Caenorhabditis elegans: one gene and its partner. Each later gene encodes a partner of the first gene's protein in a complex. Each region holds a gene or a part of one and is shown on either strand. Other genes may lie near its edges. The genes, in order: smg-8 and smg-9. A codon is read from its position in the direction of its gene.

The links.
Region 2: the proteins of smg-8 (region 1) and smg-9 are in contact, whole or in part, in a crystal structure (PDB 5NKM), measured with the Caenorhabditis elegans proteins. Residues at the interface, in NP_497003.3 of Caenorhabditis elegans: Pro33 (codon at 3,673), Asp34 (codon at 3,676), Val80 (codon at 3,879), Asp81 (codon at 3,882), Val83 (codon at 3,888), Ile86 (codon at 3,897), Arg87 (codon at 3,900), Leu90 (codon at 3,909), Lys91 (codon at 3,912), Asn97 (codon at 3,930), Tyr98 (codon at 3,933), Phe99 (codon at 3,936), Glu106 (codon at 3,957), Glu135 (codon at 4,044), Arg138 (codon at 4,053), Tyr229 (codon at 5,079), Ala334 (codon at 5,394), Ile335 (codon at 5,397), Thr337 (codon at 5,403), Phe338 (codon at 5,406), Ile339 (codon at 5,409), Arg341 (codon at 5,415), Ile342 (codon at 5,418), Asp345 (codon at 5,427), His346 (codon at 5,430), Glu390 (codon at 6,145), His393 (codon at 6,154), Tyr394 (codon at 6,157), Ile395 (codon at 6,160), Asp396 (codon at 6,163); in NP_497058.1 of Caenorhabditis elegans: Tyr155 (codon at 5,739), Asp173 (codon at 5,793), Tyr202 (codon at 7,031), Lys204 (codon at 7,037), Val205 (codon at 7,040), Ile207 (codon at 7,046), Asp208 (codon at 7,049), Arg211 (codon at 7,058), Val212 (codon at 7,061), Glu214 (codon at 7,067), Gln215 (codon at 7,070), Ile216 (codon at 7,073), Arg217 (codon at 7,076), Pro218 (codon at 7,079), Tyr219 (codon at 7,082), Ala221 (codon at 7,088), Ile229 (codon at 7,112), Ile245 (codon at 7,782), Val251 (codon at 7,800), Glu254 (codon at 7,809), Arg255 (codon at 7,812), Glu257 (codon at 7,818), Leu258 (codon at 7,821), Leu261 (codon at 7,830), Ser262 (codon at 7,833), Gln264 (codon at 7,839), Asp265 (codon at 7,842), Arg267 (codon at 7,848), Trp268 (codon at 7,851), Thr350 (codon at 8,911).

What each region holds. Positions count from the first base shown.
Region 1 is NC_003280.10:14,437,909-14,450,169, forward strand, and holds smg-8 (Nonsense-mediated mRNA decay factor SMG8), read left to right. Parts: upstream 1-3,500; 5' UTR 3,501-3,531; coding exon 3,532-3,612; intron 3,613-3,657; coding exon 3,658-3,759; intron 3,760-3,824; coding exon 3,825-4,081; intron 4,082-4,128; coding exon 4,129-4,303; intron 4,304-5,009; coding exon 5,010-5,555; intron 5,556-6,138; coding exon 6,139-6,525; intron 6,526-6,994; coding exon 6,995-7,492; intron 7,493-8,034; coding exon 8,035-8,465; intron 8,466-9,089; coding exon 9,090-9,234; 3' UTR 9,235-9,325; downstream 9,326-12,261. Other genes in the region: K04B12.2 (snRNA-activating protein complex subunit 3), read right to left, coding at 1-56. UniProt on the Caenorhabditis elegans protein: Involved in nonsense-mediated decay (NMD) of mRNAs containing premature stop codons. Probable component of kinase complex containing smg-1 and recruited to stalled ribosomes.
Region 2 is NC_003280.10:14,744,876-14,756,929, reverse strand, and holds smg-9 (Nonsense-mediated mRNA decay factor SMG9), read left to right. Parts: upstream 1-4,440; coding exon 4,441-4,671; intron 4,672-5,507; coding exon 5,508-5,813; intron 5,814-6,964; coding exon 6,965-7,133; intron 7,134-7,755; coding exon 7,756-8,062; intron 8,063-8,876; coding exon 8,877-9,021; 3' UTR 9,022-9,049; intron 9,050-9,604; 3' UTR 9,605-10,040; downstream 10,041-12,054. Other genes in the region: Y54E2A.5 (uncharacterized protein), read left to right, coding at 1-106, 664-951; Y54E2A.4 (Activating signal cointegrator 1 complex subunit 3), read right to left, coding at 1,700-1,897, 1,945-2,165, 2,225-2,261; tac-1 (Transforming acid coiled-coil-containing protein 1), read left to right, coding at 3,055-3,283, 3,347-3,683, 3,736-3,952. UniProt on the Caenorhabditis elegans protein: Involved in nonsense-mediated decay (NMD) of mRNAs containing premature stop codons. Probable component of kinase complex containing smg-1 and recruited to stalled ribosomes.

The DNA of each region.
Region 1 (12,261 bases):
TGAATCTGGTGCTGATATCGTTCGCTCTTGCGTACACGACAACCGTCTAGCTGCATTCTTTCTTCTGCAAACATATATTTTCAGTAAAAAAGAAGACGTGGCACAATGCAGCAATACGAAAAAAAAAACGAAACAAAAACTATAAAAGGAAGAAGAAAATGAGAAAACGAGAAAAAGAGAGCTGAACGATGCAAGAGATGAACGTAGCAGAGACCGCTGGGGACGGAGAAGACGATAAACAAACGAGTAAGTGCGCATTTCGGAGACACGGACGGCGAGAGCTTCGTCGGTCATAGAAGAGACGGTAGACAAGGAGAGAACGTGGTAGAGATTGGTGTGGTCGATATGAATGAATGCAAATACCGATATGTTAGGAGGAGAAACACAGCGGACGATGAGCGGTGGCAAGCGGCAGAGAGGCGACTGATAACAGGACAAGGGGTACTTGTGTGTATACGAATTGCCCCCACCCGACCAAGTGGTGGGTTGCGAGGGGACGACGACGACGATGCAATGACAAAACCCGCGAGTGTATTATGCGATAGACGGAAAAAATATTTTTAATTCGGTAAGAAGCATAACAAGCACGGAAGTCTCATAATTGCCTGACAATGCTGTACATAAATAATTTTGAAGTTTCTAGGAAATGCCGATAGATGCAGGTAATGACACTGTAGTTAGAAGTACATCCCACTTTTGTGGGAAAAAGAAAACTAATAAGTTCCTCGAAACTCACAAAAATCAAATTGCGCCGGCTAAAGTACACTTAATCCAAAAGAAACTCCAAATCTAAACCCAAAATTGGCCGCAGTTAAGACCATATATGAACAGCCTAAATAGATGGACAGGTGGTACAAAATAGTGGTATTATACAAATTGCATGTGGTCTCTGGAGCATTGTACACACAATACCAACAACAAGCCTTTCATAAAAATGCTTACCTGTAGGGAAATAATGCCTACGGTAGCTGTTCAATGCCTATTTTATAGTGAAAAAAATTATTATCATATCGTATTTAGTCTAATAATAAGGCATGCAATACTGGAATCTCTCAATTTTTGAGAGCTCATTTTGGTGGACCATCATAGGGTATATATATTCGATTTTCGCTCTGAGAATTTTTTTTTCGAACTACGCCGTGTGATGGAAATTGGGATAGACATGACTGTGTTGATCAAATTTAATTTATTTTTAATTGGATTAATTTGAAAAGATTGATCACAGTGGAGTTGAACATTATTTAAAGAGCTAGGCCATATTATTTATTTGGTATCAACAAGAACTACGTATTTCCTAAAACTTTTAAAGCAAAAAATGATATAAAACTAATTTTTAGTGTTGCTAATTTTGAAGGTAGCTACTAATTTGGAGAAAATTGCATATAAGACTAGATTAGAAGCGCTAATAAAACAATTCTATAGGGCCTTGATGTAGGTATTAAATGCCTGCCTGTCTGACCTTAATTCTACCTCAGCCTGTATCTCGCCAATATACGTGATGTTTTTAAAATTTCTTTATTGGATTTTCAACAAATTGGTAGAAATAAGAAAATTTGAAATTTGAAAATTCACTTCAAATCCACTTGAGGCGTGCAGATTTCAGGTAGGCGGCAGGCCCTGAAACCGCGCCTCCCTACCCTACAATTTTAATTACTAGAAAGACTTTAAGAAATTCAAAAAGAGTAGCCACTTAAAAAATACAGTATTTTTTTTCTTACAATAGTCTTACAACTGTAGCTACTGTATTTTTTGAAGAAAATGTATGTCTATAATAGACGTCGGGGCGACGCACCATAATCGAATAATATCAAAAATGAATGTAACAGACCATATGTTGGCAATATTTATGTATTACGGAAGAGTGAAGTGAAAAACGAAACAAATCTCTTTCTGTCCGTCCGTCGTCGCCGCATGTGCCCGTCCGCGTCTCACGTTTTGTAATGGTCTATAATGCCTTTTTGCTTTTTCAACAACGATGTGTTGGCAATATGTAGGGGGACCGGAAAAGATATGGATATCTGAATATATTGAAATCTGAAGAGATACTGGGCAGAAAACATTACATATTTACTGATACTATTTGTGTCGATTTACAGAGTTTACCTCGTTGTCAACATTTCGTAAAACGACACAAATCGTCTCTTCCCGAGCCCCGTCACTTTGGGTCCCTGATGTCTGTCACTCTCGCGCTCACTATCAGACAAACGGCATCAGACTTACTTCCATACAAGGCAGAGCTATTCAGATTAGAGCGCAATTATTCTGAGTAAATCAGAGAAATATAAGTTCTGCCAAAAAAAAAGGCGAAGTAACTCAGAGCTAGTCAGGCCTAATCAGAGCTGGGTAGGGTAAAGGCGTAGTTACTCCGAGTAAAAGTAGAGGTATGTAGTTTAGCGGTTATTTCGCTTTAGCTCTGAATAACTTTGATTTTTGTTTGGAAGTAACTCTGATATCATTTGTCTGAGTCTAACTATCTCTACACTCTCTGTACCGGTAATATAGAAAAATGTTCAACTTTCTCGGTTGTTTTTTAGATCTAATTTAAGGGAAAATTGAACAATGTGGAAAAATATACGTAAAATAAGAAGACACTCGAGATTTATCAAAAACGTAATAATTTAAATTAGAAAAAAGGGATACACCAAACGAAATTTATTGAAAGGCTAAAACCAATTCCAGCAAATCGAAAAATGTAAAATGGCCGATTTTTTGTAACTACCCAAACGCGAAATACTGCGATTTTTGAATCAAACTTACGGTATTAGGTCTCGAAACGACAAAGGGCCCTCCTTACAGAAGGATTCTCCAGCTTTAAAGGATCTTTATTTTTCAAAATTCAAAATTTCGGGAAAATCAATGGGAGCCCTTCTTTTTTTCTTTTAAAAAACTGTTCATAATTGTCAGTTTCCAGAAAATACCAACAAAGTAGGCTAGCTTCTACTGGGAAATCTCAAAATTTGCCGAGCTCTGAATAACTTCTGTGTCGTGTATCTTCTTAAACATCAAAATGACTCAATTTTGTGCCATTTTCCTAAATGTTTGGCGGGCAAAATCAATAGTTTTGGTCAAAATTTTATTGTCAAATTTTTTGATGTGTGCGGCAAATTTCGAAATTTGCTGAGCGGAAGAATCCTTTTGTAATCAGGACACTTTAGCATTGAAAAGGGGTCATATATTTTGATTCTCTCATTGTACAGTAGGTCTGTAATCGTGCTAAAAATTAAGATTTGAAAAATACAATTTATCTTTTTCAGAATATTTTTTTGAAAAACATCTGGGCAATAAGAAAATCGAAGACCTGAACACCTTTTTATCATGCAATTTAACCATAATTTACTAATTTTTCAATACGATTTCACAAGTTTGAGCCTTTCCTCGATTTGAAATTCCCTCGCTTTTGTGCGCATCATCACTCTTCGTCTCCAATCACTACGGCGTGTCAGTAGAGCGCAATTGCATTATTTATTATTTATTTGTTTTTTTCTCGTCGTATTTTTCGCAAAATTAAACTTCTTGCGTTTTCAGTGAAAAATGGACATAGCTAAATGGGTAGAACATGCAAGGACTTGTTACAGCACTCAACTTGACACTAAAATCAAAGTTATTGGAGTTGTAAGTGATGGAAATCGATTTTTGTTAATAATTCCGATTTTGTAGATTGGAAAAGACTATCCGGATCACGGAAAAGGAGATAATATTAATTGTTATTTAAGGGAAAATGTTTTCCCAGTGGCTGCAACTGAAGATGAGACTTGTACGGTGAGATTTTGAATTTTTGATTTTAAAATTTTAAAATTCCAACTAAAATTAAAAAAGAATTTCAGATTCGCGGTCACTTCTCCGAAGACGATCAGATTTTGTTTCTGGTGATGAATGGTGTAGATGACGTCGCGAACATTCGAAAATGTCTAAAATCAAATCCAAAATCGAACTATTTCGATGCGATGGCTGAAAGTGAATGCCAACAAATCCGAATGCTGCATTTTTTGTTTATTTCGTGTCATTTTATCATTATTTTTGAGCAAACATCAAGAATCGACTTGGAACTCATGAGATTTTTAAAAAAAGTCAACTCGGCGAGGTAAATATTTGAAAAAAAAGCAAAATTTTACAAAAAACTTTTTTCAGAATTCAGCTGCGAAAGAAAATAAATCAACGTCTGGTTGCTTCGGATCTTCGCGATGTCTCTTTTAATAATCGAATTTTGTCATCTGCAGAATCTGAGGGTCGAATGGTTGTGCCACGTCTTTTGATTGCTTTCCAGCGGAATAATATCCGGCCAGACGTGAATCCCGGCAAAAAGGTTAATAAAATGACGTTTTTTGCTTCAATATGTAGAAAATACATGTTAAAACATTAATCTTTGAATTTTCCAAACATTCAAAAACTGATTTATTTTTGAATTTACCGGCTAAAAAAATGAGTCTTCCTTGATTTTTTAAGTTTTTTTTTTCAATAGTTTCAATAGTTTTTTAAAAAACTATTACAAATTAATTTTTTTAATCGTGAGAAACCAGAAGTCTGCAACTGCAAAAATATCGAAACCAGCTTTTAAAAAATCAGTTTTAAAATTTTATTAAAATTTTCGAAATCGCGCCCCAACGGTCTTTTTCTGAGATAATTGAGATTTTTTTGAAAATCGGATTATTATAATCTATTGATTTTGATTAAAAAATTGATAATATTTAAGAAACAAAATTTCGAAAATTCAATTTATTTTTTAACCGAAAAGAAAAACATTTTTTAAAAAATTTTGATCATTTTTTTGATTTCCTCTAAACCTAAAGAATAAAAAAAAAAACATTTCAAACAAAACCATGTTTTGGATCAAATTAAAAAAAATTTTCTTCTAAACCTAAAAAATAATATTTTCAAAAAAAAAATTATCAAGTTTTTTTGATTTCCTCTAAACCAAAAATTCCAACAAACAAAAAACACCAATCTAGCCCGAAAAATTAAAAAAAAAACTTTTTTGAGGACAAAAAAACCCAAAAAAAACCCCTTCCAAGCTTCAGCGTGAACTCTACGAAAAACTGGAGAAGAACCTCGATAATCAATTCAGCGACATTCTGAAGCTCTACGACCTTATCGATTGCGGAGCATCATCCTTATGCCAGCTGAACGAAACAATACCGGTCGTCCATCTTTTGAATCCAAAAATTGTAAAAAGAGATATCATCGGAGAAATGTTCGAGATTCTGATGGCCGACGCTGAAAATACGAAAATATCCGGAAACGCCGGAACACTTCCCAGCAACAATTCGTTCGTCAAATTTTTAGAGGACAATTTTCGCTCGGAGAAAAACGAAATTTCTCTGGAAAACGTGATCGAATTGATGAACTGCCTACAGTGTGTTCTCGATGGTGATTTGGAGGAAAAACACGAGAAAACTGCCATTCAAACATTTATCAAAAGAATTCAAAATGACCATATGGAAGAAGCTCGACGACTTTACACTAATGCTCAGCGGCCAGGAGAGAGACGGGGTGCGGATCGGTTCAAAGATTCTGAAAAACCGGTGAAAATTCGAAGCAAGGAGGAGCACTTGATGAGGGTACGGGCTTTAAAAGTTGCTTTGCTTCAAAAAAAAATCAAAATATTAAAATAATCGACGCAATTTTTAAATTCCCTCCGCCATGAGAACTGCGACCATGCAGCGATTCGATCCGCCCACTCTCCAACCAATTAGCTTGAGAGTTCTCATTTTGGAGCGAAATTCAAAATTCGTTCAGAACTTTTTTGTTTCCATTTGTAGTGTTTCAGATTTTTAGCCAAATTTGGGGTTTCCTGGTCTCGAAACGACAAGATTTTGGCAAATGTAAAATAGAATGCGCCTTTAAAGAGTACTGTAATTCCTAAATTTTAGGGAGGTTTTAATTGAAAAACTACAATAAAACACGGAAAAAGCAATCAAAAAGGAGATCTGTGAAAAGTCAAATCAAATCAAATAAATAAATGTTTCCAAAGGAATTGCAATTGCCGCCCACCTCTAAATTAAGTATTATCTTAGGAAAAGTTTTTTTGAATTACAGTACTCTTTAAAGGCGCGTTTTTTTCGCATTCTTTTTAGACAACATTTTTAGGTTGAAAAACCAAAAAAATTTTGCATTTTTATTAGTTTCCAAAATGTTTTGCAGTTCAACGAAGCCACTCATTACATCGATTCAGTTGTCGGGGTGAATTCACGTGAAGCGCTGTCTCAACTTCAGGCTCAATGCAATGAGATGTGGCAATCCGATATGCGTGCATGCGAATCTGTCTCAATGATGGGCCGCTCGTGTGTTCGGAAAATCCATCCCACATTTGGTGATCAGACGGCTCCCGAGCACCGCTGGACCGCGCATGACGCTTCAAACACGATGATTTCCACGTGTGTCTGCGGACGGAAACAACTGATACGTCCTGAACCGTTCTCTGTTAAAGAAGCGAATTCCGATTTTTATGATCACCCGGATTTCAAGTGCTGTAGGCGATTGTGGAGATATCAGTTTCAGTTATATCAAGAGGATTCTGAGGAGAAGGATGTTAGTTTTCTGGCAATATTTTACGATATAATCAGCCTAGGAGCTACAAATTCTAATGTTTAAATTTCCCGCTAAAAATTTTCTCAGGAAATTTGAATTTCCCGCGAAAATTTCTCTCAGAAAATTAAATTTCCTGCCAAAAATTTTTCACAGAAAATTTGAATTTCCCTCCAAAATTTTTCTAAAAACTGTAGTTTTCCGCCAGAATTTTTCTCAGAAAATTTGAATTTCCATTCAAAATTTTTTTCTTAAGAACTTTGATTTCCCTCCAAAATTTAAAACAAATATTTTGAATTTCCCTCCAAATTTTTTTTATTTGAATTTGTTCTCAAAAAGTACGAATTTTTTCATAAAATTTTGTTTTCCTCTCGAAATTTGTCTTCAAGATTTGAATTCCCGCCGAAATTGTTTCTTAAAATTTTGAATTCCCCGCCAAAAATATTACAAAAAATGGATTTACAATTTTCAGGACATCATGTGGGCTGACCGAGAGTCAAATTCTCTCCGAGCCGCGAAAAAGATGGCTCAGCGCGAAGACGAGTTAGCCGAGGAAGATACTGACCTGGATATTCCTGAAAGCCTGTTGGATCCCGATTCAACGTCACCATCTGACGAAGATGACGTCAGAGTTAGAACTATGAGCAGTTCAGAGTCTTCATCACAAGAATCGGATGCCTACCTTCGTCCGACGAGTCGCCGCGATGAATCTATGGCATCGAAAACTGAACGAGAATTGACTATCGACCACGTGAAGCGGATGCAAAAGCTCGAACTCGCTGGAAAATCAGAAGATTTTCTGATCACTGTGCCCAACTCGATGACCACCGGAAAGCTGCCAATATTTCCATCGTGGCATCTAACGTCACTTGGTGACTCGAGTATTTACAGTCATGGAGCTGGACTTAAGAATCAACCGAATTTCAAAATTGGGGGAGATTATTTATCGCCTGTAGTTGTTCTATTAGATGTAAGGATTTTTTGAAAAAAAAAAATTTTAAAAAATTGGGGGGCAGGTAGCTCAGTCAATAAATTGTGGTCTTGTACATTTTTTGTTGGTAATTTCAGAATTTCAAATTTAAATTGCCAGATTTGAAAATTTCCGGCAAATCAGCTAATCGGCAAATTGCCGGAATTGAAAATTTTCGGCAAACCGGTAAGTTGCCGATTTGCCGAATTTGCGGGAAAAATGGCAATTGCCGAAAATTTCGGCAAATTCTGGTTCTGAACTTTTTTTTTTTTTTTGAAATTTCGAAATTTCAATTTCGATTGGCAAAATTGTACGCATTCTATGAATGTTCATACATCTATTTTTCAAAAAGCAATTTGCCGGAATTGAAAATATGTACCGTAACATTTTTTTTTGAAAGTTGACAGTACTCCCCATCAAGGGTGTCGTTTTTTTTTTTTGATTTTTTAGGAAAATCGTTAAATCGAAAAATTTTCTTTTTTTTATATTTTGAAAAATCGGTAAACCGGCAATTTGCTCCCCATTCGAAAAATAAATTTAAGGTGAACTTCGACGTCTGGAACCGCGATCTGAACAAAATTCGAAGCGAGGATTTCAGTCGAAAGTGCGGAAAAGACAACAAGGACGACTCGGCACGTGTCAAACTTTTTGTTGGATTCGAATATGAATGTTCCCGTGGTCACCGCTTCTTTGTGGACTACAACGGAGAACCGCTCATCTACTCGAAAGGATCGAATGTTATCAGAGAATCCGCGCACCGAAGTTCGTTGGGAAATGTCCTCCAGGCTGATCTTCCGATTAGAAGACCATGTACGTGCCGGAAGCTTCCACTGCAATCCGCACAACTGCAGAAGGTTCATGTGGTGACTCCAAAAGCACCAGTTCATATTACTATTGATCCGAAAGTTTTGATTCCAACTCACGAAGGCGTCTATGGAACTGGACAGGAGCCGCTGGAACTTCATCATTCAAAGTAATTACGAGGACGCAGAATTTTACCATTTTCGCGCGAAAAATACGGTTATCGGTCCCGAAACGACAATTTTTTTTTATTTCAAAAATATGTGCGCCTGTAAAGGTGCCGAAATCTGAGAAATATTTTTAAATGTCTCAAAATGTGTCCCTGATACCGAATGCCAATGCGAAAAATTCAAAAAAAAATCCCCTGATTTGGTATTTCAGCTTCAGGACTAGTCTCGTAAATCGACATGACACGGCGCGATAATGCCTCTGGCGCGGGTGTGTAGTTTTGACTTTTAATCAGATACCGTATATCTTCTATTAGTATGGCCTCCCTATTAGACTGGCACTCCCTATTAGTCTTGCACTCCCTAATAGTATTGCAAGCGGGAAGACCTTCGAAAAATAGTATTGCAGCCGTATTAATAGAAGAAATACGGTAGATATTCGGGATCAGAGGCAAATTCGGAATAATTATAAAATTATATTCCCCAGATTTTGATGCTCCGCTTTTAAAGGCTCACACCTCTTTGCGTCTAACAAACATTTGTCATAACGAGACCGGGTACCGTATTTTAGGCGCAAAATGTACATTTTCTCGAACTTTGGCAATAAATTATCATACATTTCTTACCAGATACTACATCCTCCACCTGCCAACTGTCTACTCTGGTCCATCGGGAGCCTGGATGCCCGGAGAGTTCAATCCTGAAAAGCAAGGTGTCTGGATGGGCGGAGCGCTGAAAGTCGCCTACAAACCTGTGATGTCGTTCAAGTGGTGATTGTTCTCGTGTGATTTATGTGTAAATTCCGAAATCTATTGCTTTTTCCTAAAAAAAATAAATTGGATTGTTCCTCATCTCGGCAAACCAAAATATTTCATCGCAGAAACAATCATATTAAACCTTGAGGGGTCCCTTGTGGCTTTCAACTTATCAAAAGTGGCTAGCAGCGTCGGCAAATATTTTTTAGGGCTTGAAGATTTTAACGAGACTACAAACTACAAATTTACAAACCTCTAACTACAAAATCAATCATTTTAGAGGAGTTTCAAAATTGTGAATTTTTACAATAAATTGCCCAATCTGCGCACTTTTTAATAGTTTTCGATGGGTTAAACCTAGATTTTCTGAATTCAGCATACATGAATTACCCACTTTCAACAAATTTAGACTTTTTTTCCCCAGTTTGTTTTCGGCCATCTAATGACTATCTTTTTTTGGGCAAAAAAATAATTTTTTAAATTGTACAAAATTACTAGAAATTGAAAAAAGACAATTTTTTAGTGTTCGGAAATCAATTTTGAGTCCTCTATTTACAAAATTAACCATTCTATAGAAGTTTCAAAATTGTGAATTTTTACAATAAATTTCCGATTTTTGCCAATTTTTAATAGTTTTTGATGGGTTAAACCTAGATGTTTTGAATTCAGCATACATGAATTACCCGTTTTCAACAAATATAGGCAACTTTTCATTTTTTTCCCCAATTTTTTTCAGCCATCTAAAGAAAAATAATTTTTCAGAGAAAAAAGCGCGAATTAAATTTTTGTTCTTCAATTTTAGCTTTCGTTTCTCATTTTGAAACTGATCTTTTGATATAGAGTAATCATTAAAGGATACATCGACAAATCGAGTCTAGTTCAACTCAGAGTCTCCTCCTCCAAAAAGAGAATCATTCCCGGACTGAAAACTCATTTCGGCGCTTCTCTCTAGTGTATAGAAACTGGGCCTCAGATGCTAGAATAATTGATGCAGAATTTAGTAGGAGAAGCCCTCCACTCTCGGGTAACGCGAAAAAGAGACCGCCCGTTTATGTTTTCGGATTGATTAGGCAAATGCGTGTTTCCTCTGCTCCTCGTTTTTTTTTCTTTAAAAAAAAACGGCATTAAACTGGGATTTCTAGGTCATCATCCCCTATTTCATCAATTCGACAATCCAATCAGGACGCCCGGTCCCTCTTAAATTTTTGAGATTAAGCTTTTGGAAAACACACAGAAAAAGCCAACAAAATTGAGAGTAGATGTTCCGAGTGGCTGAAAATTTGTGGCGCATGTGAAAGCTGATCCTTTTATTTTTGCAAATGGTTTTCCAGTTCTGCTTTTATGTAAAACCAATCTTTTAGATTTTTTCTGAACTTGACCTCACTTCCATTTAAAACTTAAGCAATTGGAAATCGATGATTTTCTCAACTGCTTCAAATTTCAATCAGAACACTTCCGAGATTCGTGTAGTTTTTAATTTGTTATTAAGGATTTCAGGAGTAGGCAGCTAAAAATGAATAAAGCTAAAATTAACAAATACCAAAAAAATAAATTGTTGTTATTTATTTTCACAAATTGGTGTTTCCGAAAAAGTCAAATTTTTCGACAATTTGAAAATTGACCAAAACTTCGACAAAAGTTTGAAAAAGCTTTGAAAATGTTTTCTTGTTCTTAGAAATTGTAAAAAAGATTTCCTGATTTTGTTTGGAGTTTTCAATGAAATTTATGCAGATACTATTTGAACTCAAAATTTTAAAATCACTTTTGAATACCGTAACGTTGCTCTGAAGACTGGTGATTATTTTAAAAGGTTTCGAGAGATAAGCAAACATTCGAGTTTTTTTGGAAATTTTCATGCATTTTTCCAAAAAAAAAACTAAAATTCACAGAAAAGGAATCACGTTATTTTGTTTAATTTTTAGAACCCTCAACCCCTGAATACTCTGTAAAAATATTTTGGACCGAAATAGATTTTTTCAGTACGAATTGCTAATTTCTTTGTAGCAACCTATTGAAAGAGATATATTTCAAATTTCCAAAAATATCTTTTGAAAGTTCAGAGTTTTGGTCTTATTATTTTTAAATTTAGTCAAATGAATTTTACAACAGTTTGAAGATAGAAAGCAATAGGAAAATTAATTTGTGCGTTCAAAACAACCATATTTAAAAATTAGCTGTTCCGGTAAAGCCAACTACAATTTTTTTGGCAATAATAATTTTCGCATATTTTTCTGAGAATTCATACGAGGAATAAATACTTCCACGATCTTTTCCCTAAAACTTGCTTTCAATTCCACAAATGTTTTTAAAAATTTCAAGTTGATATCTTCTGCCGAGCTATTTGTCAAGCTTTGTGTGTTTTTATGAAAGCTGAGTTGTGAGATTTCAATTTTCAAAACTAATGTATTCGACTTTCGATTTCCTCTTTGTTTTTAATTTTACATTTTGCAAACCTGCTCTGAACCAAAAATAGAAAATGATGTCAATCAAATGTTCAATTACCTGGAACGCTGCCTTTTTTATTTGATTCTCAACTGGCTTGTTTCTAAATAGAAGCAAAATTTTGTATAAATAGGTTTTAGAATACATGTAGACGTCATGTTTGGTAGAGTAATTTTTTTTGATGATTTATAACTAGTGGGTTGATATCCAAAAAAATTATTCATCATTTCAGGCTCTAATAGGTCTAGACGAACATTTTGGTAATATTTTAGGTACGAATAAATTATTAATAGTGTAATTTATTTCGTTAAAAATTATGTTTACTGTGAAAATTTTGATAAATATTGGGCTGTATAAGAAATTCAGAGGATTCATGTGATATGTTCTTGCATATTGATGTATTTTTGATTTCAAATAGTTTTGCAACTTAATTTAATTTGATGTATTTGAAATTAAATGGGACGCGCGCAATTTATCTATTTTTTTAAACCGAAATTGGATGCATCGACTTAAAATGAAGAAAATATTGAAAGTTAATAGTTTAGATCAAAATGTTTGATCTTTTTCATATTTCAAGCGTTACACGTCATCAGTATGTTTTGTT
Region 2 (12,054 bases), 310 kb from region 1:
GTGGACGGGCTCCTCACAGCTTGGACAGTGCCGTGCGGTTCCGCCGAAGTACATGGCGGAAGTGTACAGCTTTATTGAGGAGGACGAGTGGGAAGAGAAGTTGCAGGTGGGGAAAGAGTTTTAGATTTTGAAGGTGGTGTAGTCGAATTTTTTTTTGCTTATTAGACTTGAAATTGTCTAAAAAACGAATTTCATAATTAAAATTCTTGAAAACTTCTCAAAAAAAGTTATGGCGGCTCAAAAAATTACTTAAAATTAGTAAAACTAGAAGTTCGACTTGCCAAACGGTTGGAAACTAACTTTTTTGAAATTACCGTCTAATTTTGGGTGTACAATAATTATCATGCGTTTTCAACTCGGTTTGAAAGGCCAGAAGACCTTAAATGTACCTAAATCGAGTTGAAAACGCAAGTTAATTAACTTATACATCCAAAATTAGACGACCATTTCAAAAAAGTTAGTTTCCAGCCGCTGACAAGTCAAATTTCAAATTTTAACGAATTTTATGTCATTTTTTTTGAGCCGTCATAACTTTTTTTTTTTGAGAAGTTTTCAAGAAGATTCATTAGGAGATTCGGCGTTTTAGACAATTCCAAGTCTAATAAAGCAATTTGTAGAAAATTCGCCTAGTTTAACCAATTTCTCACAGCTTTTCTCATTCAGAAAGTGCGAAACGCCATCGGATGTGACACCTCGGCAGCCGTCAACTTCCAGGAATTTGTAGAAATCAAGCCACCGAAAACGAATGGAGCTCATGGTGCATCGATTAGAAAATCCGGAGGAAAAACGAATACAACCGCAATTCGCTATGTGAAACGTCACAGAACATTGTCCGAATTCGTGATTTGCAATGATCGTTGTGTTCAGGGAGGAATCGGATATTCAGCCTCGTTGGTCATCATTTTGGCGTTGGCAATCTCGTTTTTTAAGAACTGTATTCAGGTCGAATAAATATGAGCTTTTTTTTGCGAAAATCTTTTTTGTTGTTTTTTAATTTTTTTTTTCTAAATTTTTGTCATGATTTTTTATATTTTGAAAACAAAAATAAAAAGGGCTAAACAGAAATATTATTAAATTTTAAATTCCCGCGCAAAGCGAGTGACGTCATTTTCGACATTTTTGCGTTTTTCCGGCTATTTTAATTGATATTTCTCTGTTTTATAACTTGAAACATAATTTGTGGATTTTTCAGACATTCTTTCGTAATGAAATTTGCTGAAAAATTGAAGAAAAATCAATTAAAGTCAGAGAACGCGAAAGTGACGTCACTTTTTTTACTCTGGAATTCAAAAAAAATCAGTTCTTTTGACCTTTTTTTTGGCCTGATTTTGGCTTTTTGGTCTTTTTGGCCTTTTTTGCGTTTTCCGACTGTTTTATCTGGTTTTTCTTTATTTTTCGTTATGTCACAATTTTAAACAAAATTTATAAAATTTTCAGAAATTTTTCCGTAAAAAACTTGTTGAAACTCTAAAATTAGCCTAAAATCGATAATTTAATTTTTGAAAAACGTTTTTTGTGGAAAAATGTCCGAAAAATTGACAAATTATGTTCCAAATTGTAAAAAATGGAAAAAAAATAAAAAAAACAGCCAGAAAACCAAATTCAAAAAATCAAAAAAAAATTAGAAAATTTTTATAAATTTTTTCACTGTTATATTCTGCCATTTAGAGCAAATTTTTAAAATTTTCAAAACTATTACCTTCGCCTTCGCCTGCCTCGCATGCTCAACTTTCGCCAGCTCCTGGCTCTTCACCTCGAAAACTATTTTATTCCGTTTTTCGAGTATATCTCCGGCTAATTCGAACAATTCGACGCCGAGAAGATCGATGAGCTCGCCCTGTAGATCCATATCGGAACGTGTCGAGCACAACATTTGTAGAAGGTTTTGGGATATTGTCTGAAGGAAAATAGGTTAGAAACTTGATTTTTTAGCCGAAAATCAACCTCAAACGTATCTGGAAAATATATAAGCAATGTGTCAGCAATCGGCTGAAAAATGCTCCCAGAGCCCGAGGTAGAAGGCACTTGGGGTAGGGAAAGAGCTTCTGGAGCTTCTGAAAAACCTTCTTGTTCAGCTTCACAATTCGACCATTCTAGAAATTCCGATGGAAATCGAATTTGAATTTCCTGGTGGAAGCTTGCTACCCGTGATGGTGAGGGTGGATCTGAAAAAACATCTGGTAAAAATTTTTTTAATAAAAAAATGGAAAAAAAGCTAACTAACCATCTCCAATTCGTTCGATATAGTTGAGAAGATCCATTTTGTACCTAGTTTGGCAGCTGTAAAATTAGAATTAAAATTAAAATGAAAAACTATATTTTTCAAGAGAGAAGGATGTTCAAACATTGTTCAAAATTTCGCAATTTTTGAAAAATCGATTTTTTTCTGAAGTTTTAAGTTTTAATTACTTTTAATTTCTATTTTGTTTAATTGCCAAATATTTTTGTTTTTTTCTCTGTTTTAAGGTGAAAATTAATAAAAATGAACAAAATAAGGTCCTGGCCGCTTCCCTTCTCTGACCTAGCGCTTTCTAGGCCAACTGCACTTTTATTTGGCGGTTTTTTATGCAAAAGTGTATTATATTAATTTTTTTCGCAATAAAGATGTGTTTTTAATCATTAAAATAGTTTAAAATGAAGAGAAACATTGAAAATTGAAAGATAACAAAAAATGTTTTTAAAAAAATTCTACAGTACTTTTTAAAGGCGCAGTCCAATTTTTGTATTGATTTTCCCGCCACGATTACTCTTGTGGACTCTTTTTTCGTGCTTTTTTTGTTGTTGGTTATGGTTTTTACTGATTTTTTTTGAATTAAAAATTAAAAAATGACTTTTTTAATTAAAAATTTGTTTCAATTATTTTGAAACCCTCTTGTAAAGCCTTGTAAAACAAGAAAATTGAACTACAGAAGTTTTAAAGGCGCATACTAATCTTCAAAACAATTTTCCTACCACGAAAATAAATGATGACGCGGGAAAACTGAAGAATCGTTAATTTTCTCCGTTTTTCACGAAAAATGTCGGTTTTTTCTATTAAATTCATCCGATTTTCAGATGTCGCTCAACACAACCTTCACCAAAGAGGACGGAACCGAGGTCGTCATCCCATTCAACGGGTCGCAAAATGGGCATCCGGAGAACGAGGAGCCAGAGGTTGAAGAAGCCGCGGAGCCCAGTTCTTCAGTGGAGACACTGTGCGGTGCCACGAGAGGCGACATCATTGTGATGAAGCACACGACGAAGGCGCTCACAGAGTTGATCGAGCGGCTCTTGCACTCGGATGGTGAGAAGCTTTGAAAAATTGCTAAAAGAGATTTTAAGAGGAATAAAACCATATTAATTTCAGAATTCGAAGTCCGTCGCTGCTCAAACGGCCAAATCATCTCACAAGGCCGCTGCAACGGAACAACGCCAGGAAACGGCATCGGAGGCGGCGGGGCATCAAGCGAGGAGCTCGAAAAAGCGCTGAAAGATCGAGATGCCGCCCGTGCCGAAGCCGACAAGCTCCACGCCAACTACGCGACACTGTTCGCCTCGTTCAACACGGTTCGCGAAGCCGCCAACGACATCCGCGGCGAGTACGAGGACGCGAGGGACAAGCTGAAGCTCGCCGCCGCCGAAGTTGACGAGTGGCAGGCAAAGTTCCTCGCCGTCAAGGATAATGCGAATTCTGAGCTTGAGAGGTGAGTGAGAGAAAATTTAATTTGCAACATGTAAGAATATATTTCAATTCAGAGCATCCGTGGAGTACGACGATCTTCTCCGATCCCACGATGAGAACACAAAGGGACTCCGTCTGCGTGTAAAACGCCAGGAAATCGAGCTCTCCAGCAAGAACGACGAGATCAAGGTGCTCACGAACCGCGTGTCGGAGCTCTCACAGATTTGCGATCAACTTCTGAATGATGTCGACGTTTCCGATGGGATGTCCGTTATTTCGACGGATGCATAATTTATTTCTGTAAAATATAATATTTCTTCCCCCCGCCTTTTCGCTTTCCGCCTTATATTTTCTAATTGTACATGAATTTTTCAGCTTATTTATTTGTTTTCCAGATTATTTGTATGAGAAACAAGTACAAAAGGCTTCGTTTCAGTATTTTACCGAGAAAAACTACAATCTTCTAAATTTTCGCGCCAAAGATACAGCGCCCGGTCTCGACACGAAAAACATTTGCCAAATGCAAGCATGTGTGCGCCTTTAAAGTGTACTGTAATTTCCAGGCCGAATTTGTTTTGATTTTTTTAGTTCTCACTTGTTTTTCCAAACAATTTATGCGTTGTTACGAGGTTTTTGTAATAAAAGTCAATAAAATTCCTACAGTAATCTTTAAAGGCGCACACCTCTTTTCAGACTGCCGCATGGATTTTGAGCGAATTTTTTGATTAAAATGTATGCAAAACTTTCAAAATTTCTATTAAAATCTTGCAATTTTCCAGATGAAAAAAGTGGAAATTCTGAAAACATCTCGGCCATCATCTGCAGGAGGCGCTGCCCGACCCTCCACAGCGAGCCCAACTCATGGAGCACCGAAAATCGCCATCAAAACACGTCCGGTGGCCGATGACGTGGCGCCTACCGCCGCTACGGTCATCGAGCCATCGCAAAAAGCGATGAAGGAGTCTGTGCGATTTTTGACGGATTTCGGAGAGATTTCCGATGCGATTTCAGTGTGTTTTTTATTTTAATAATTTATTATGGAGACGCAGAAAAATGGCTTCTTGAAATTGGAGACGTGAAAACGCGCTCCACCGAACTATGGGTCTCGTTAGGGTTTGCTCGTAAATTCAAATGCTTCCAAAATTTTAAAAATTAATTTGAAAAATGTTCAAGCATTTTTCGTACTTTTTCTCAATTTTGAAGCATTTTTTGTGTTTTTTCTCAATTTTGAAGCATTTTTTGTCAAATTTCTTAAGTTTTTTGTGCTTCTTGCTAATTTTAAAGCATTTTTCGTATTTTTTGTCAATTTTTTAAGCATTTTTCGTCCCTTTTGACAGTTTTCAAGCATTTATCATTTATAATTTCAACAAAAAATTTCAACACATTAAAAAAACAGAAGACGACGAAAAAAACGAAAAATGCTTGAAAATTGACAAAAAAAATTACAAAAATTGCTTGAAAATGTTAAACAAAAAACACGAAAAATTCTTGAAAATTGACAAAAAATTACAAAAAAATTCTTGAAAATGTAAAAAAAAACACGATAAATGCTTGAAAATTGAAGAAAGAAGCACGAAAACTACTTGAACATTGACACAAAAAAATTACAAAAATTGCTAGAAAATTGAAAAAAACATTACAAAAAATGCTTGAAAATCGACAAAAAAAGGTCGAAAAATCCTTGAAAATTGACAAAAAAATTACGAAAAATAGCTTGAAAAAGTTCAAAAACAAAAAAACGAAAAACTTGAAAATTTTTAAAATTACGGTTTCGCCGCCAAACAACTAACGAGACCCATTATTCGGGGGTGGAGTTGACCGTGGAGCGCATTTGTAATTTTTCCAGGATCTCCTCACATCGAGCCCCAACTTCAACGTTATCTCTGCGATCGGGCCGCAGGGCGCCGGAAAATCCACATTGCTGAGCATGTTGGCAGGGAATAATTCACGTCAAATGTACAGGGAATACGTTTTTCGGCCAGTTTCTCGAGAAGCCAACGAACAATCACGACATCAAACAATTCAAATCGATATTTATATTGTAAATCATCAAATTTTCTTGGATTGTCAGCCAATGTACAGTTTTTCGATTATGGAAGGCCTTCCGAAGGTTCGAGGTGGACGATTCGATGATTCCACTGCGATGAGTGATGTGAGGAAGCATTTTAGACACAAAAAATCGGAAAAATTGGTTTAAAGGCGCACGAAAAGTTCTGTAAAGGTCTTGCCACGAAATTAGTTTTTCATTTAAATTAATGAGATCAGGGGTGGACGGATTTTCGCCAACAAATTCGACAAATTGCCGATTAGCCGGAAATTTCAATTCCGGCAATTTGCCGATTTGCCGGAAATTTTCAGTTCCGACAATTTTCCGGTGTGCCAATATGCCGGAAATTTTCATTTTCGACAAATTGCCGATTTGCCAGAAATTTTCAATTTCGGCAAATTTTTTGTTGAGAAATTCGGCAATTGCCGGTTTGCCGATTTGCCGGAAATAATCAATTCTGGCAATTTGCCGATTTTGCGATTTTCCGGAAATTTCAATTACGGCATTTAACCGATTTGCCGATTTGCCGGATGTTTTCAATTCCGACAGCTTGCCTGAAATTTTCAATTCTGACAATTTGCCGGTTTGCCGATTTGCCGGAAATTTTCAGTTCCGACAATTTGCCGATTTGTGGGAAACTTTCAATTTCGCCAAATTTTTTTATCGACAAATTCGGCAATTGCCGTTTGGCCGATTTGCCGGAAATTTTCAAATCCGGCAATTTGCCGATTTGCCGGAAATAATCAATTCTGGCAATTTGCCGATTTTGCGATTTGCCGGATATTTTCAATTCCGACAATTTGGCGGTTTGCCGATTTGCAGGAAATTTTCGTTTTCGGCAAATTGCCGATTTGCCGGAAATTTTCAATTACGGCATTTAACCGATTTGCCGATTTGCCGGATGTTTTCAATTCCGACAACTTGCCTGAAATTTTCAATTCCGACAATTTGCCGGTTTGCCGATTTGTCGGAAACTTTCAATTTCGCCAATTTTTTTGTCTACAAATTGGCAATTGGCGGTTTGCCGATTTGCCGGAAATAATCAATTCCGGCAATTTGCCTATCTGCCGGAAAAATTCGATTGCCGCCCACTCCTGATTGGAATATTAATTCCAAAAATATATAAAAATTCTAGAAACTAGACTTTAACATTCAAAAAAAAAAGGTTTGAAAATTCACCAAAACAAAATTCACCAAAAATTTTTATGCCCTAAAGTGAAAATCTTTAAAAAAGTAAAAATTTTCATTAATTTCAGACCCTCCGGCTCACCGCATTCCTGCTCTACGTCAGTCATACGGTACTCGTCGTTTCCGAAACACATTACGATAAAGTCATCATTGACACGTTGAGGGTTGCCGAACAAATTCGACCGTATCTTGCAATTTTTCGTCCGAAACTTGCGATTGATAGGAAGACCAATTTAGGTAGAAAAAAAAATGAAAAAAAAAACTGGCAAGAAATGGGCGGGGTTTGGAAAATAGGCTCCGCGCAATTCTTGGTTCTCCGAATTTCGCAAGACGCAGTTTTAGCGAAGACTGTGCAAGTTGATGCATGCAGAATTTTAAAGGGATTTTGTACTACACGTGGACAAGTATGAATTTATTTTTTTCGTATGCATTTGTGAATGGCTGAAATGCATATATTTTTGGATCATTTTTTGCATTTTTATAATTTTTTTTGGAAATTGGAAATTTTTTGGAATTTTAAATTTTGAAATTCCAAAAATTTTGGAATTTTTAAATTTTTAAAAGTTTTGAAACTTTGAAAGTTTAGAATTTCGGAGTTTTTTAAATTATGGAATTTTAAAATTTTGGTATTTGGGAATTTTGAAATTCCAATATTTTTAAAATTTCAAAATTTTTGAATTTTTGAATGTAAAATACGAAAAGAATAAGCAAAAAACTATTATTTTTATTCAAAAAACAAAAGTGAAATCATGCGAAAAAAAATGAATTCGCACTTGTCCACGTGTAGTACAAAGTCCTCCGTAAATCGACATGCAGAAAACCGTACCGCAGTCTTTTTGCAAAACGAAAAAAATTTCAGTATTCATCAAAACGAAGGCGAGCTCAATCGACCTGGCGCCTACAGTAATCCGGGAACGGGAAGAGCTTCTTCGACTAAGTTTCCAAGATTCTCGATGGCTGAAAGTCTCTCAGGAACCCTTTAAAACGCTGATAGTCCTGGAAGAGATTCGTGTCCGGCGTGAGCATTTGTTTGAGGAGGGCGATGAGCCTGACGAGGCTGCCTCGCTTAATGAATTTGACGAACAAATCGCAGAGTTACGAGAGGAATTGCAAAAGAATCGAGAGGATTTTACAGTGGAAACTGCGGCGATGGATGAGAAGAAATGGTACGTTTTTTAATTTTAATTTCCAAAAAAATATTTTTTTGGACAAAAAATATCGAATTACTTCAAAAAAAAAAAACAAAAAAAGTCCTAAATAATGTTTTGAAAAATAGTTTAAGGTTTTTGATCCAAAAAATTGAAAGAGACTTTTTTCAACCAAAAAAATTGGAAAAAAAATTGTTTTTGCAAAAAAACCAAACAATTAAAAAAAATCTGAAAATGAATGGAATTTTGGAAAAAAACAACCCAAAAATTGTTGAAAAAAAGCAAAAAATCAAAAATTTTGTTAAAAATCCAAAATGTAAAAAAATTCAATTTCTGCAAAAAAAAACTCAAAAAATTGGAAAAAAAACAATTAAAAAACAATTTTCACAAAAATACCAAAAGTTAAAATAAAAACCGAAAAAAAATCAGTTTCTGCAAAAAAAAACTTCCAAAATTATTTTTAGAAAACCAAGAAAAAACCAAAAAATTTTTAAAAAAACACAAACAATTGTTTTTTAGAATATTTGCAAAAAAACCAAAAATTGTTCAAAAAAACCAAACAATTTAAATTTTAAAAAACAAAAAAAATCATTTTTGCAAAAAAAAACCCTAAAAACCAAAAATTGAAAAAAATACAATTTAAAAAAAAATTAATTTTTGCAAAAAAAAAACCTAAAAACTAAAAAAGAAATCTAAAAATTAAAAAACAAAAAAATACAGAAAATCATATTTTGAAAAACCAAAAAAATAAACAAGAAATTATAATTTTTGAATTAAAAAATCCAAAAAAAAGTGTTTTTATAAAAAAAAATAAAAATTTCCGATTTTTCAGGCTCGACATGTGCCGAGAAGTGATACGAGACAAGACGTTGCACAAAACACTCAAAGAATATCAACGAGCAATGACCGACGGTGTCCGCACACATTTTGACAATGGATTCCATGCGGAAAGAGACGCGAACAAATTTTTTAGCTGAAAAATTCCGGTTTTTTGGAAATTTTTAAGTATGTAACTTTCAAAAAAACAGTGTTTTTATTGAAAAACTGCTATGTTTTTCAAATTTTCGAATAAAATTTTAAAAAAAGCTGAAAAAATATTCTCTCAAAATATCACCAAAAAATCTAAAAATTTTTTTTCTAAATGTTTCGATTTTCATTTTAAAAACCTCTAACAAAAAAATTTGGAAAAATATTAATTTAAAAAAAAACTCAATAAATAATGTACGGCTTTAAAAAAAAAATTCGATTTTTTAATGCCAAAAAGTGAAAATATTATTTTTTAACAATTAAATAAAATAATAATATGCATTTCTTTTCCGATTTTTTTTCCGATTTTCTCAAAAACAGAAATTCAAACAAAAAATTGAACAACATATTTTTAATCAAAAATCTTTAAAATGATAATACATTTAACATCAATTTTCAATTTTCACTAAAAACACCATATTTTTCCCTTAAAAATACCAAAAAAATCAAATTTTTCCCGGCAGACACCCAGGACCCCAGAAATTCCTCAAAAAAGCGTTATTTAAATTTTCAAACCCAAAAAAGTGTCTTCAGGCCTACCTACACATCATACTCATCACCATCCAACAACTGATATAATCCCAACCTTGTTTTTGCCTTTATTTTTTCTCCTCTTATGCATATTTTCTCCATATTCCTACTCTCCAGGACGACCGGCCGTCTCTCTCTTTAATCCGGGAGCAGCACCACCACCGTCACACAATTTCCGCCTCATCGCCACTCATCGGGGAGCCGAGAGGCTTATATTCCTGCCATAAATCCCCCCGTGCTTGAGAATTTTTTTCCCCATTTTTTGTTGTAAAATTTTTTTTTAATTTTCTTTTTTTTTTATGTATAATTTTTCCAATTTCATTCCCCATCATTATATCGTTTTTTTTTTTGTATTCCCATTTTTTGAGATCTAAATCAGTTGGGTATTGTTGTGCAGTTTTTGTGCAAAACAACCGGATAAAAACACTGCAAATTTCTTTTTCGTTTTTCTTTTTTTCCTCGGTTGAGCTGTGAGCAAAAAAAAAAAGAAAGAAATCGAGAGATTTTCGATTTAAAATTAAATTTTTAATATGAAAAATTTAAATTAGTTTCCAAGTGTCAGTTTCAGGACTTTTCCTTTTTCTGTCCTTTTCTATTCGATTCTCAAGTTTTCTGATATGTAAACTACTAAAAATTTTTCGAGAATTTAAATAGTTTCCCAATTGTCGTAGGTTTAGTGCATTGCGTACTTGGCATCACATTCCACGACAATTTTCAAATATTTCGTTTTAAAATCCACGGAATAAAGATATTTCTAGGCCATGTAGAGGATTCTAGAGCGAAAATTTGAAATTTTCTGCAATTTTGCGTAAAATTCGGTGCAAGACTAATTTTGCGTACTTGGTATCACATTCCACGACAATTTTTGAAATATCAAAAATTGTCGTCGTTTTCGGTGTTTTGTACGTAATACTATTAGTTGACAATAGGGACAATAGTACATTTTTTTTATCCGCCAGCAAAAAAAAACACCGAAAAACAGAGAATCCGGCCTCGTGGTCGAATTTCTTGAAATTTTCTTTGAAATGTTTCTTGTTCACCGGAAGTGTCCGCCACCCCACCATCACTTGCATTTTTCGTAAAAAAAATGACGTGATTACTCGTGAAATGCGGTTCCACGTACGCAATTGCGTGCCAAACATCAGATTTTACGAAATTTCTAGGGAAGTTCAAATAATGCCAGTGAATTTGGCCTTTCTGTGCAGATTTTGGTCTAAAAATCAAAAATTAATCGGTCCTAACTCGAGTCTATTTTTATTCCGAAGTGAAAGTGAACTTCATTAAACTTGCATTAAATAAATGTTTCCTGACGGAAAAGTTCAGAATTTTTGTCTTTTTTTTTGGTTTGGAAGTTGGACTGATGTGACATGGCCGAGTTTTCGTTCAAAATTAGGTGATTTCACGTGGACGAGTTTCTCAGTTTTTTTCGGCCATGGCCACATAATAAAAGTCCCCCAAGTGTTGCGTACATCATATCAAATTTTACGACAAACTCTCAGAAATTTGAATAAAAAGTTTCATTTTTTCTAAAAATTGGGCGAAAAACAGTTCGTGGCTTGGAATCAAATTATAATTAAAAATGTCTGAAAATTTGTCGTGAATTGTAATGTTTTAGTGAAGAAACATCAATTTAAAACTAGAAATTGAGAGTAAAAGTATTTTTTTTCTAAATTGTTCATTTGAAATTCAAGTCACACCGAATTAAATTCCATTGCTTTCTTTATTTTGCCATTTTTTCTAAATTCTAGTTCTATGATTATCTATTCTTTTTTTATTTATAAAGTGTAAAGCCCTTTATAAAGTGAAAAATAACATAAAAATCAAATTCTGGCTTATAAATTAGATTTTTTTCGCTCAATTTTTCTAAAGCGGCGGATAACAAGAAATTGATAAGTTTACATGACCTACTGCTCTTAATCCCATTTCTTCTCGCAGTTTCCCACCGTCCAGTTGCTAAGCTCCGGCGAGGACTGACGTCAGCATGACCTTGAAATTGATTTGTTCGAAAAAAAGCTCAAAAATGGAAAAGGGAAGCCGTATTTTTTTCATGAAAGTCGGATTAGGATTTTCCAATATAATAAACACATTTTTTTATAATTTTTATAATTTTCTAGAAAATTCGACTGGAGACAGTGGATTTTTAAAAAGTAATTTTCATGGTAGTTTATCCCTTTTTGCGCGTCAAGCTTGATGTATTAATGCGATACCACATTTGACGCGCAATTTTATGCCAATGCCTTTTGCTCGAATGAAAAGTAATCCATAAATCCACGAGCATAACAGGAAATTAGGTTGGGGACCACCTAATTTCCGGTTTATTTTTTTTCTGGGATTTCCGCTTGAGACCTTTCTGGGTTAGTCCTCAGAAAATATAAATGTAAAAAAACTTTTTGATCTTCAACCCTTGTGAAGACAATGGGCAAGTGCTTTTGACATTTTTAGATGACGTTCCC